3 linked regions of the Canis lupus familiaris genome follow. The protein of the gene in region 3 interacts with the protein of the main gene of each other region in a pairwise test. Links are inferred from orthologs where the notes say so. Each region holds a gene or a part of one and is shown on either strand. Other genes may lie near its edges.

Evidence for each region.
Region 1: the proteins of GABARAPL1 (region 3) and ATG4A interact in binary tests that used the Homo sapiens proteins (3 or more experiments, as listed by UniProt). The two-hybrid records come from large-scale screens. The link is inferred for Canis lupus familiaris from reciprocal best matches to the Homo sapiens genes GABARAPL1 and ATG4A.
Region 2: the proteins of GABARAPL1 (region 3) and OPRK1 interact in binary tests that used the Homo sapiens proteins (3 or more experiments, as listed by UniProt). The link is inferred for Canis lupus familiaris from reciprocal best matches to the Homo sapiens genes GABARAPL1 and OPRK1.

Annotation. Positions count from the first base shown.
Region 1 is NC_049260.1:82,285,710-82,289,775, reverse strand, and holds part of ATG4A (cysteine protease ATG4A), read right to left. Parts: intron 3,122-4,066; coding exon 3,020-3,121; intron 2,836-3,019; coding exon 2,763-2,835; intron 1-2,762. UniProt on the Homo sapiens protein: Cysteine protease that plays a key role in autophagy by mediating both proteolytic activation and delipidation of ATG8 family proteins.
Region 2 is NC_049250.1:5,350,740-5,355,543, reverse strand, and holds the start of OPRK1 (kappa-type opioid receptor), read left to right. Parts: upstream 1-1,681; coding exon 1,682-1,938; intron 1,939-4,804. UniProt on the Homo sapiens protein: G-protein coupled opioid receptor that functions as a receptor for endogenous alpha-neoendorphins and dynorphins, but has low affinity for beta-endorphins.
Region 3 is NC_049248.1:10,351,981-10,356,582, reverse strand, and holds the start of GABARAPL1 (gamma-aminobutyric acid receptor-associated protein-like 1), read right to left. Parts: upstream 3,051-4,602; 5' UTR 2,769-3,050; coding exon 2,679-2,768; intron 1-2,678. UniProt on the Homo sapiens protein: Ubiquitin-like modifier that increases cell-surface expression of kappa-type opioid receptor through facilitating anterograde intracellular trafficking of the receptor. Involved in formation of autophagosomal vacuoles.

The sequences.
Region 1 (4,066 bases), on a different chromosome or scaffold from region 3:
TCCTGCTGGGTGAAAGAGAAAAGGTACCAGCATTTCTGCTCCCAAGACATTGTATTTTCTCTTTTCAAAAGGCATTTTGACTGCTTTTTTCCCAAAACAGGAAACTTCCATAAAAATATAAATTATATATATACATACATATATATACACATATATACATACATACATATATATGCATATATATGTAAATACATACACGCATGTTTGGGAGCACATAATATGGAGAATATGCCCAGGAAGATGGAGAGAGAGAGAGAGAGAGAGAGAGAGATCTCTTACACCCCTCCCACAATGCAGTACGAAAGCTGTTCAAGAGATTTGGGCTGCAGATGGCCTTGATATGGTGCCTCATTGGCCAGCAGCTGAAGAGAAAGAGTATGCTGAACTGAGAGAGTACGCTGAACTGTGTGACTTCGGAGAAGGTTAGAAAGAAAACCCCTTTGACAGAGGGATCATCCAGGATCTGAGTAAAGCACCATGACCATATCTCCCTTACATTTCCCTCTTGCCTGTCTGAAAGAAGGCATGTTCATTCAACCTGGGTACTTCTGGGACTCTTGGGTAAAGTCCAGTCTCACTGGACAAAAGAAAAAAAATATATATATATTCTTTTCCTAACCAAAGTAGCTCCCAGGAAGAGACTAATTACCATTGTACTTTAATTTCATTCCTTTTGAGATATCACCTTTCCCTGATGTACTTATATTCTGTTGTTAATGGTCACAATCACAATGAATCAAAACTCACCTAAATTCTTTAAAAAATGTATGTTTTGGGCAGCCCGCATGGCTCAGCGGTTTAGCACTGCCTTCAGTCCAGGGCCTGATCCTGGAGACCCAGGATCGAATCCCACATTGGGCTCTCTGCTTCTCCCTCTGCCTCTCTCTCTCTCTCTCTCTCTCTCTCTCTCTCTCTCTCTCTCTCTGTGTGTGTGTGTGTCTCATGAATAAATAAATAAAATCTTTTAAAAATGTATGTTTCCATTTGTCTGCTGTTAAGAACTTCAGAATTTAGAAGAAAAAAGCAAATTCTGAGGGACATCATGTAAAAATCTCTGGGCCTCCAGCCATTTCCAGCTGAGTTTGGGGTGCAGCACAGCCCTTCTGATTCACCTTCCAGGCTTTTTTTAAAAAAGATTTTATTAATTGATTCATGAGAGACACAGAGAGGCAGAGACACAGGCAGAGGAAGAAGCAGGCTCCCTCCGGGGAGCCCAATGCAGGACTTGATCCCAGGACCCTGGGATCATGCCCTGAGCCAAAGGCAGACGGTCAACCACTGAGCCACACAGGCGTCCCACCTTCTACAGTTTCTACCTGGGGCTCCTATGCTGGTTCCTGAAATACTGCCGGATCTTCACTCGGCAGAATCAACCATCCCCCAAAAGGAACTATGGACTAAGGCAAGAAAGTGGTCTCAGGGGGGTTGGTATCTTAGCAAGGAATAAAGCCAAGATACAGATTTCCCCCTTGAGTCCCCAGGAAATCCAGCCTACTCCCCACATGAGCACATTTCCAGAGCCTTCTAGATCATTGAAGAGTGGTTAATAACTGAAACAGTGCTCCCTCAGTACTTTTTATGGAGCGGATCCCACTGTCATCCTCCGGAGAGCCCAGGAATTGAAGAAGCAAGCTACACCCAAGGAGTCCAGATGGTTTCAACCTTCTGATGCCTAAATCCAGCCCCAGACTCTGGATGCCATCTTCATTCATCCTGCAAGTATTTATTGAACTCTTGTATGCTCCAGGCAGTTTTATGTGCTAGTGTTATGGTAGTGAATGAGACAAATACCATCTCTGCCCTCATGGAGTTTTCATTCAGTGGCAGGCTGTCAGGAAGGAAAGTGACAACAGGTGAGGTGGCCTGCAGATGTAAATGCTGATGCCACTCACGCCATTCCCTTCTAAAATGTCAGGCTTATGGGGCATCTCGGTGGCTCAGTGGGTCAAGCGGCTGCCTTTGGCTCACAGGGCATGATCCCAGGGGTCCTGGGATTGAGCCCTGTGTCAGGCTCCCTGCTCAGCAGGGGGTCTGCGTCTCCCTCTAGCCTCTGCTCCTCCCCCTGCTCATGCTCTCGCTTTCTCTCAAATAAATAAATCTTTTTAAAATTACTTAAAAATTAAAATTAAAATGTCGGTCTCCAATTCTCCACCTTGCCTCTTGCCATGGGAGGTGAATTCTGCAACTTGACAGAGCAACTGCCAAAGCGGACCTGGAGTCTGCTAAGAGATGACAAACTGACGCCCTTGAGGTTTGTCTATTCGTGAGTTCCCTGAGGCAAGGGCTGCATCTAATTTATTTCTAGATACCCAGCAGGTAGCACAGGAGGGCCACTCAGTAAATATTGAAGGAACAAATGAATGAGTGAGGTCTTTTACACTCTACGGGGTGGGAGGGAGTCCATTGTCTTGCCTAGGCTGTCTCAGCCTCCACCACTTAGTGTTAGCCCTCTGGCTTCAAAGTGACCCTCAGGCTGATGGTCCCCTGGAAGGCGAGCACCAACCTGGAGAGGGAATGGATATTGAGGGAGTCTTGGGGTGCCCCCCTCACCCTGATATACTGGTACAGATGGATATAACTCTGATAATACTAGAACAGATGTCCACACATGCACATTTCAAAGAACTGTCCAAGCAAAATGATACAGATGTTTGGTGGCTTAGTGATGGCAAGAACAGTTAGCTTGATGGGACACTGAGCTGGCAGAAGAGGGAGGCACAGGAGACAGTTCTGTAAGGCGGATGCCAGGCTCTTTTACTTACTTTAATACCTGTGCAACTGTATTTGGTCCAAACCATTCGCCAATTGATTTCCCTTCTCCTACACCCATCTGTGCTGTTTTTATGTGGGGAGGGGGGAAAAAAAGAGACGTTAGCAAAAGTTCTTCCAGCATGCCACAAACTCCTAATTTTTTGCATGAATAATTAAGCAGATGGACAAGTTTGCAGAGCCCATATAAGGCAGGGGATGAAAGCAGAAGGTACAGAACACTGCCTCAAGACCACTGATGTGACCTTACCCATTTGATGGATAGAGTAGCAACAGTCCTTTCTATCTAAGAAGCACTGGAGGATCCGTTGGTATTCTCTGGGTTGTTCTTTCTGTTTCTCCCAGCTCCAGTCTTTTGAGGGAAAAAAAATGTATGAAAGTCATGTTTGTAACTGCTTATTACCTCACTGCCCTCTTACTGCCACTACGATGTTACAAAGAAAACAAAGGAGTTCCAGCTAAAAGGCAGGGGCTATCGGGTTAGCACATTCCTAATTAACTTCGATTTTGATGACAAAGGCATCTAGAGACATTACTTTCAAAGTCTCTGTGGGTGTAAAGTATAAGCAAAATAACAAGCTGACTGAGGAACTGACTTAGCCCGGAGGCTGGAGCTAGATAAGTATTACATGAAAACAATGTCAGAAAAGGCTTTTCTGGTCTGTTCAGCTACTGAGGTCACTACAAAGCCCAGAGGTATATCCTTAGGCCGCCCTGACGCCATACTCTCTCATCTCTACACAGACAGCAACGGCTTTGGTTCATGTATTTTGGCAACATTGCGAAAGAGTCTCACTAGGGAAGTGCTATTCAGACACACAACAGTGCACTGGGGAAATACACACAATTCACAACTGAGGAAGCTCAAAAGAAATTGCATGCTGTCATTTTTACACAACCTTCAAAGAGTCCACACTGACCTTTAGAAAAACGAATAACCTCTGTGTTTAAGGTTTCTTTGTGACCAAAACTAAAATAATCATACCTATAGGAAGCCCCTCTGTGCCTCAGGCATGCCAATCTCCCCACGCCCCCGCAAATGCTGCAGAGTCTATTTATCCCAGGATGCAGGACAACTGCAAAGATTCTCCATGATCACCGCTGTAGACAGGATGTGCCTCTCCCATTCCCTCAGCTCTAGGAACTCTGTCTCATGGGACAGCTCTCTGGGACTTAGTTGGCTTCCAAGACACAAATTTCTCTCTCAAGGTTTTAGACACTATTTAACTTCACAACTGAAGTATTCTTGAAGCCAGAGGCCACTGTCTCCAGAATCTTCTGTTTTCTTTGCTTCTAA
Region 2 (4,804 bases), on a different chromosome or scaffold from region 3:
CCTAAAAAAAATGTAAGATCTGATAATACTTTTCAAAACACCAATGGCCCCAGGGTTGGAGAGATGTTGTGGGGGCAAAGAAGAGCTTTCCTGTTGTTCTTCGAATCACATTGCCAAGAAGAGCTGTGTATTTCGAGGTTGTAGTAAGATTCTGGTGGTCAAATGCCTTTTTGGGAGTCACAATATCTGAAACAAGGTGGAAGCTCTCTTCTGCGGTCAACTGATGAATGGAATGACTGTATAGGCATCCTGATTCCTGTACCCAGTCTGGAAAGGGGAACTTCTCCACTGTCCTTCAGTGGCTGAGTCCTGGCTCCCCTGTACAGCCAACTTTGGCCTTCCTTCCTTGTCTTCATCATCCCCTGGGTCTCTTTGCCTGAGGGGACATTTCAGCAGAATCTGACAGATATCCTTGGACTGGTGGAGTTATGCACAGAAATGATGATGACTGAACTTCTCCATGAGGGTTCAGGTTCTTGGGGGCTCTATAAAGAAGGCATCCCAGTGAAGGGAAAGTGGATTTGCAGGGATTAATAAAAGAGAAAGACAATGTCAACTCCCGGCCCAGCGCCGAGGCCTGAGTAAGGAGAGTGTCTTACTCATTGCAGGTAATAACCACGAAATACGGATAATACCTGAGATGCCAGTCTGTGTGTCATCTCAGAGAAGAATGAAAGGAACAGAATGAACAGAAATATTCTATTTACGTATATTAAATCATTAATATCTGATGGCCCGGTCTTACTCTAATTGGATTGTTTTGCCACTTTATTTGGATGCGTCATTCAGAATTTCTCCTCTCTTGAAAGAAGACATGTCTTGAGAACGATGCCCACAGTAGCTCTAGACTTTATTATGAATAATCCAGATGCATAATCGCACTGAGGAGGCACACCCTTACTGCTAAAGCTAATCCGCACAGCTGCTAGTCTTAGGGCCGCCCAGGAGAGGCTGATTGAGGCTCTGGGTAGTTGGTGGTCGGGGAGCCTCGGCTGGGGGCGCGGCCCGGGCAGGGGCGGGGCGCCGGGGAGCTCCCCGCCCGCCGAGCCCGCGCGCTCCGAGTCCTTGCAGCGCACGCCTGGCTGAGCCGCCGCGGGCCGTGGGAGCCGCGCTGAGCCGCGCTGAGCCGCGCTGAGCCGCGGGGACCGGGCTGGGCTGAGAAGGTGCCTCATCCAGGGCGCCGAGCTGCGGGCGCGCCGCGACTCCAGGGCTGAGACCGCTGCGCGGGTCTCCGGGAGCCGGAGGTGGGCTTTGGGCTTTCGACTTTCTAGGAGCAGCCCTGGGGAGCGACGGCTCCTTGCTCGAGAGCTCTTCGTGTCTGGGGGCTCAGAGCAGCAGTCTGGGGACGGTTTCACGGGGCGGGGGCGGGAGGAGGGGTCGTACCTAGGAAGGGGTTGGAGGGGATTGCAGGAGCCGGGGAAGAGGAGCGAGCGCTGTCCGCTGTGCTAGTCGAGCGGGTAGCGCCAGGCGCCCGCCTTTTCCCGCCCCCGGGGACGTGCGCCGGGTGGGCATCAGGCTGGGCATCAGGCTGGGCATCAGGCTGGTCCCGGCGCCCCGGGCCTGCTGGCCCCCGGCGCTGGCCCGTGTGCCGCCAAGTTTGCCTCTCCGGGTCCAGCTTCTCTCGCTCTCGCCGCCCCGCAGGTTCTGCCTCTGCTCGCCCTGCACCTGCGGCCGCCGGACCATGGAGTCCCCGGTCCAGATCTTTCGCGGGGAGCCGGGCCCCACCTGCTCCGCGAGCACCTGCCTGCTCCCCAACGGCAGCGGCTGGCTGCCCGGCTGGGCCGAGACGGAAGGCAACCACAGCGGCGGCTCCGAGGGCGCGCAGCTCGAGTCCGCGCACATCTCTCCCGCCATCCCCGTCATCATCACGGCTGTCTACTCCGTGGTGTTCGTCGTGGGCTTGGTGGGCAACTCCCTGGTCATGTTCGTGATCATCCGGTGAGTGCGGGTCCCGGCGCCGCAGTGGCTGGGGTCGGGAGGGAAGGTCCGCCTGGCGCCAGGACGCGCGGTTGGGGCTCCAGCCCGGTGGCGGGGCTCTGCCCGCGGTGCAGGACCTCGGAGAGCCCCCGAGGGCGGCCTCTTTGAAGTAAAGGATTCCTGGAAGAGTTTTGGGTGAGGGACTCTGAGGTTGCACGGGGGCGAATAGAACAGCCAGGGGAGTTTTGAGGCTTTAAATGACCCTCCCATCCCTCCCCCCCCCCCCAAAAAAAAACCCTTACTGAAAACTATGGTTATGGAAAATATTAGGGTGTGGAGCAAGGTCAGCGTCTTCTGGAAAGGAAACTAGTTCCTTTGCCTGGCCTTTTTGCCTGGTTGCCCGCACTAGTTCGGAGCACTTTGTTCTGTCCTTTGCAAATATTTTTTAAGGTAAAATTCAAGCCCATTGAATGCACTGGAGATAATTCAGAATTTCCTGTGACTCATCAGATTGGTGTTACGGTTTATAAGCAAAAGCCGATATATCCTTAGGGTTGTTAGTATCCATCCACGCGCCATTTTAGTACTGAAATGTTATCTCATTTACTTAGAATTTCAGTGATTTTTAAAAAATAAGCCATCTAATATTTATCCTCTAAAGTGTGGATTGTGGAGGTTTTCAAAAATTGCTTTGCTTCTTATTTTCCATGGAGAGAAACTGATGATTTTATTTTATTGCTCTTTGGTGTTACATTGAAGTCAGCTTCTATTATAAACATCCAAATACCCACCCATATCTGCTAATTTTCTGGTAGGTGAAGTGATTTTTTATTTTGGCCTCTTTCAACAACAACAACAAAAAAGAAAAAAGAAAAAAGAAAAAAAGAAAAAATCTCAACTTTGCTTTCGATACTCTTTGATATAAATATTTCACTTTCTGGGAGAGTTAATGCTTTGGAAATACACCTTTGAGAGTGAATAAAGAGTTTACATTCCTTTGAAGAGTTCCTGTGAAATAAGGGACACAAGTCACTCAGAGTCACTGTTCATTGAAGTGATGAATAAAAACTACATCTTTAAAAAAATTCTAGCTTTAGTTTAGTTCTTTATTTATTATAAACCTTAAGAACATTATCTATAGCATGAGTCTTGGGAAATCATCATAATAAAAAATGCCCATTCATCTGTCTATCCAGGTTTGAGAATTTTATCTTCATCTGTACTCCAGAACTAAAACCCATCATTTAAGCTTCCAAATACACATTATAAAGCTCATTTCATCTACAATTAGCATTTGTAGCTTGGTAGCCTTGGTTTCCATGATTGTGTATTGCATTTTATAGGCATCCTATCTGTGACAAGTAAAGGCCACAGAGGGAGGAAATATTTTAAAAGCACATTGTTTTCCAAAGTCTTTAGTAATTTCAGGGCTGCTCTCCATTAGAGAGAAGATTATAGCAACCAAAAGAAAAGAAGACAGCTGTGTTCTCAATTACAATTAAAAGTTTTAGGAGATCTTTGGTTCAGAGGCTGTGAGTTTGTAATAAAACACTGCTACACAAAAAGAAGATGCTAAGAAAAGAAACAACTCTGTTCCTACTTATATCATATTTAAGTGCATGAGTAAAATGAATACATCTTATTGTTATTTGAAAGAGCACCTGAAGTTCTGAGTTTGAGAAGAGCTTCTTAGTTGTTAACAACTGTTTATATAGCCCTACAAAGTAGGATAAAAAGGAATGAAGAATCCTAAAATATGTGCAAAGACAACTCCATGGGGAACAGTAGAAATGTCAGAATGAAAACAGAATTATGTATATATTTTTAATATATTTTTTAAATATTCAATTTATTTATTCATGAGAGACAGAGAGTGAGAAAGAGTGAGAAAGAGAGAGAGGCAGAGACACAGGCAGAGGGAGAAGCAGGCTCCATGCAGGGAGCCTGACGTGGGACTCGATCCTGGGTCTCCAGGATCAGGCCCTGGGCTGAAAGTGCACTAAACTGCTGAGCCACTCAGGCTGCCCAAAAACAGAATTATAGATTAACTAGGACTTTTAATGGCGGATATGAATATGAAGAAATAGAAATGAAATATAAAAATATATAACAATTATATGTAATTATATATAATGAATAATCACCATTATAAATAGTAATATAGTACTCATCAATTGTTCATATATTTATATAATATATACAATATATAATTTTATATATGTGCTTCTGTGTGTGTGTGTGTGTGTGTGCATCCAAAAGATATCCAGGATCAAAATTTATTAAAAGATAAATTCAGCTAAAAATCCAAAAAAAGTTAGCTGGTTCAGGTAACATCATTCATCCTCCCACCTCACTCCCAACTGGTTGGAAATGAAGTATGAAAAGTGAGGAATCATCCTGGAATGCCAATGTACTGAAACATTTGTTTCCTTATATCTATAGCTATGAGGATTAAGGAGTATTTGGTATTGGTTAAGACTGAGAGATGCCCAAAGAGTTGAAAAATAAAACCTCAAAAGGAAGGTTAGTAGAAGTGGGTTTATTTTGCTCAGAAGAAGAAGGAACTGAAGACTTGAGAGAGGTGGCTAGTGTCTGCACACCAGAATTGAGAGCAGAACGGGAATACGGAATTCAAATGCAACTTTTATAATTGATGTTGAGGGCTGAGCAACATTGCTTAAAAAGATGGAGGACCACTTTTGAGGACACTATTTTAAAACACTGTTCATTGAAAAGGGCCATGGTTCAGTCATTTAGGACATCATTCTAGAGATGGGGTTTAGATGCTTGGATGTTGGGGCAGATGTAGTCCAAGATGGCCTGCTCAGACCCAAGGAGAAAGCTAGGGTTGTGGAAAAAGCTGTGACTATTTTTAGACCTGTCTTAC
Region 3 (4,602 bases):
AAATAAGATATCCAGACAGGAGGTTGGGATTTGGAGATGAACAGGAGGGGGATGGGTAATCATTAAGGCCTTGGCTTACCAGAAAATATCTTAGGTTTCCAACAACCCCAACTCTACTCATAGGCCCTGGACTAGATGCTTTTCCTCTTTGGTTCTCGACGTGTTTTTTTCTTCTGTGCAATACGGCCAATATTCCACAAGGGCTTTTACAAATTTTAAAGAATAGACAATATGTCCCTAACAGTTTCCTGCAGTGTTGAAGGTTTTCAATACACTGTAGCTATGCAGATACTTTAAGATCCAAAGAAAACCTTTCCTCTCAAGGCAGGAGCACATCCATTCTTTTGGATGGTAGCTAAGAGATAAGGAGGGGCCTAACTAAAACTGAGTTATGTGAGCAGTCAGGGAACCTGATTGCTTTGGTAAATACCAATGGCCCAGCTGGAAGGGGTTTTAGAAATCACTTACACTAACCCTCTTTTCTGTACACTTTAGTACAGCAAGATTAAGGATCTGGCCCAAAACTAAATCTCACAACTCAGAGAGCAGAGCTCTTCTTCCTGCATCACGACCACAAAGAAGGTCACAGGCTGAGCACCTAAGGAGCAGCTGGAACGCTTATAAACTGGTTAAAACCCAACTGAAGGAACCATGAGACCTGAGTGATGATTCTAAGAGCTGACAAGTAATCACACAGGCCAAACATTTTTAACACCAAACAATGAGCAGGAAAAGAATAGGGAAGATTAGCTGAAATACTCTGGGTGAATGCATGTAAGAGACTGAAATGGCAAGGGCTCGGTTTTGAAGAAATACATGGGAATTTTAACTAGATTTAGGAACAGGTACCTTTCAGAGTTTGTGGCTTAGGCAGAGCTACTGGAACAGAGCCTCATACTGTTCTGAATAAATGGTAGTCATTTTGCTCAGTGGGTTACCTTTCTGGCATCATACTTCTCTGACCTTTCTAGGGCTGCAATGTTTTTTCTTAATTTCCAATACCTAACAGTGTGAGTCACACAGTGCCTCCTTAATTAATTCTGAGATTAATTTTCCTTAATTCTTAATTAAGAGAATTGTATTAGAAATTGAGAAACGATATGGCATGGAAGGTCCAACAACCAGAGTTGGAATCTCAGGCTCTGCCACACACCAGCCACAGGAAACCTTTAGGAATCCGTCATTTCTCTGTGCTTCAGATCCTTCATCTGTAGAATGGGATTATAACGGTGTGAAGATTGAGTAAGGTCAGAGGACATGCAATACTGTCAGTATAGAGCAAACAATCAACCAATGAAAGTTAGTTGTCATTTTTAACTATTAGACGAAAGGAGGCTTGCTACCACCACAATTGGGGCAAACTTTTGAAGCTGTCACCCAAAGTCCAGATACCAAACAAGTAATTTGTGAAGGATCATTTACTGGGTGGGTAATAGAGCTAGATCTCCTTTTTAGCTGAAAACCCTTGTGTACAATTCGTGGGGAATGGAACAGACCTAAAGTCTCGCTTCCTTATAAAGGACTGCAGGGGAGTTTTACTGCAGGCATTAAGGCCCAAGTTGCTTCCAGTAGCTGTAACACGATGAAAATTAGGTAAGGATTGGAGAAGAGTCCCAAAGAGTACCTGCAGGTCAAGAACTGACAACACATAATCACAATTACTTTGCCTGTACATAATACGTCATCTTTATCCCAATGTCCCTGCCTGAAGATAGTACAATCTGACAGCCTCTGCTCCTCCATCTCCAAAACCCAACGGTGGTTGTTCCCTCTACCACCACACTCAAAAGTCTTCTGCCTTCCAATCTGGCTGCGCAGCCTACATTACAAAAAAAAAAAAAAAAAAAAAAACAGGCAAGCGGCGGGGGATGGGGCGACGAAAAAAGCGCCCGGATGCAGAAAGCTACCTTAATGTTTCTCTGTTCTCCCCACTGCCGGCACTAATTTTAACCACAGAAACCAGCTTCCAAGACGGAAGCAAAAGGCCCCAGTCCTTCATGGTTGTGTCCAGGTACAATCTGATAGAATAAGTACAGGAGGGAGGCTGGCTGCACCCTCACAAGCCCCTGGAGCCAAGAATGATGAGGCAATCGGGCTGTGGCGCAGAGAACGTGACCTTGTTTTCTGGGCCAGGCCTGTCTCGTGCCCTCCCCTCCCCCCCCCCCCAACAAAGACACTTTTCTCATTCTTATGGAATAAAAGAAAGGATCCACTGATTTCTGAATCTATCCCTCCCAAACCCAATGTTCTGAGAGCCAAAGTCAACTTCAGGGAGACGCATCGAAGGCAGAAATCCATGGCCGCAAACCTCACTGCACCAAGTTATTTCCAGAACAATTTCCCTGGGATTCTGAAGGACGCGAATGTATGGTCCCATCTCGATCCTGCTCTCACTAAAGGGCCACGTTCTGGTCACTTCTCACCCTGCACATCCTCTGAATACTGCTGAGTCACTCAAACGGAGGCTCCGCTCTAAAGATGACGGGGAGAGCGGCCCCGGGGAGACGGGCCGTGCAGGGTCCGCAATCAGGACGTGCGCTCCACGGCTCTCCAGGGGCTCAGCAACCCTAGAGACCACCCCTCTTCTGTGCCTCAGGGCAGCCACCACGACTCCCGGGTTCCCCCAAGCGCGCTCAGCCCCTTCCCCCCTCCTCTTCCCTGCCCCCCATTACACTCACAGGGACCCTGTCCGGATATTTCTTCCGGATTTTTTCTCCTTCCTTTTTCCGATATTCAAAGGGATGGTCCTCCTTGTACTGGAACTTCATGATGGACCGCAGGGTTTCTAAGATTCCCCGGCCGGGGCCTGCCTTCCTCGCGGGTGGCTGCGTCTCTCCCGCCTCGCCTCCCCCTGCCGAATTTCGATGTAGGTGTCAGAACCGCCTGAGAAACGTCAGCTCCCGTCGCCACGCGCCTTGGCAGAGCTTGCAGAAGGGACGTCGGGTCCCCTCGGACGCAAGACGGAGTCGCTCAGGTGGAGAAATCCCGGCGGATTTTCCCCGGAGCCTCGAGCACAAAAACAACACGGCGGCGCGTTGGTATTATGACGTCATGACGTCCCGCCTCCCCGCCCCGCCCCCAGCCTTCGGACGGCAGCGGGGGGCGGGGGGGGAGGGCGAAAGTCGGTCCGGTTCGGCGCGCTCCCCTCTCCCTCTGTCCGAACTCTCCTGCGTCGGGAGTATTGCGAACATATAACTTTTTTACTTCGAATTTCGTTGTGTGGCTGTGACATTAAAAGTGGTTTGGATGCAAAAAAAAAAAAAAAAAATACGTTCTAAAGATATCTTATTCCCTCTTGCTCGCTGTTTCTTGGTTGGATCCAAAAACAAACACAGGGGGCGAAAATCGAGCTCTTTCCAGCTTATTGGGATCTGGAATCTAGGAGAAGAAAGAATGGGGGTCGTCGGGTGCCTTTGGCCCGGTACGGAAGTGCCCGGTGCCTGCACTGTGCCCTTTGCTCCTCGTCTGCACCCCCGCTCCTGGGCGCTGGGCTGGCGCGCTCCGACCGTGACCCTCCTTCACCACGCGCGCGCACGTCATTTTGTTTGGGTCCTTGCCGCAATTCGCTCCTAGAGCGGCAGCAACAACAGAGCATGACTCAGGAATTTGAGATGTAGAAGCTGAAGGGCAAGCTTGTCGTCAAGGTCCTGAGAAGTGATGTCAGTCATCGCTGCCGAGGGCGTCGCTCACGCTCCGATATAGAAATGATTCACTTTCTCCTACGAACTCAGAGGGTGGGCCTGTCTTCTGGAAAAGAAAATAACCAAGCAATTCAGGTGGTTCACAAAGTACCTCTTAAACATTTCTGTTGTTTTTTTTTTTAATTTTTATTTATTTATGATAGTCACAGAGAGAGAGAGAGAGAGAGAGGCAGAGACACAGGCAGAGGGAGAAGCAGGCTCCATGCACCGGGAGCCCGACGTGGGATTCGATCCCGGGGCTCCAGGATCGCGCCCTGGGCCAAAGGCAGGCGCCAAACCGCTGCGCCACCCAGGGATCCCCCATTTCTGTTTTTATTCTGCAAAAATTCACCAGAGGATAGTACTACTTGTTAAGTGTCCCTAAGGTGAAATAAAGTGCCACCCGAAGGGCTGGTGGAAGACTGGTGGGCCACCTGCCGTTGTCGCTTGCCTCTGGCCGTCCCCTGGCCCCACTAAGAATGGAAGAATTAAGGCCTTTCCAACCACTGCCAATGGCAGTGATTCCAGGGATTGTAGATCAGCAGGAGGAAGGCAGAGAAAATTGTAAAAGGTATAGAAGAGAGAGGAAGGACCGCTTTGCTTTGATCAAGTCCAGGGAGCTCTGAAATAAATATACAACAGCAGTCCCCATGTCTCTGGTTTAAAAAACAAACCCACAAAATAAAAGAAACTAAGTTTCATTATTGAAAAAAGGAAAATGAAGATCAATAGCCTTACCTCTTGACGTTAATTATTTCTCCTCCATGATGTCTTTCAGTCCTCTTTAGTATAAAAACCCAGGAACGAGTCTATCACATTATATGTTTATAATTTTTAATCCTTATTTTCAACCAAATGTTAGCTCATTTTAGTTTTGACCCACTATAGCTAAAATCTCTGAAAGGAAGTACTTTACAACCAG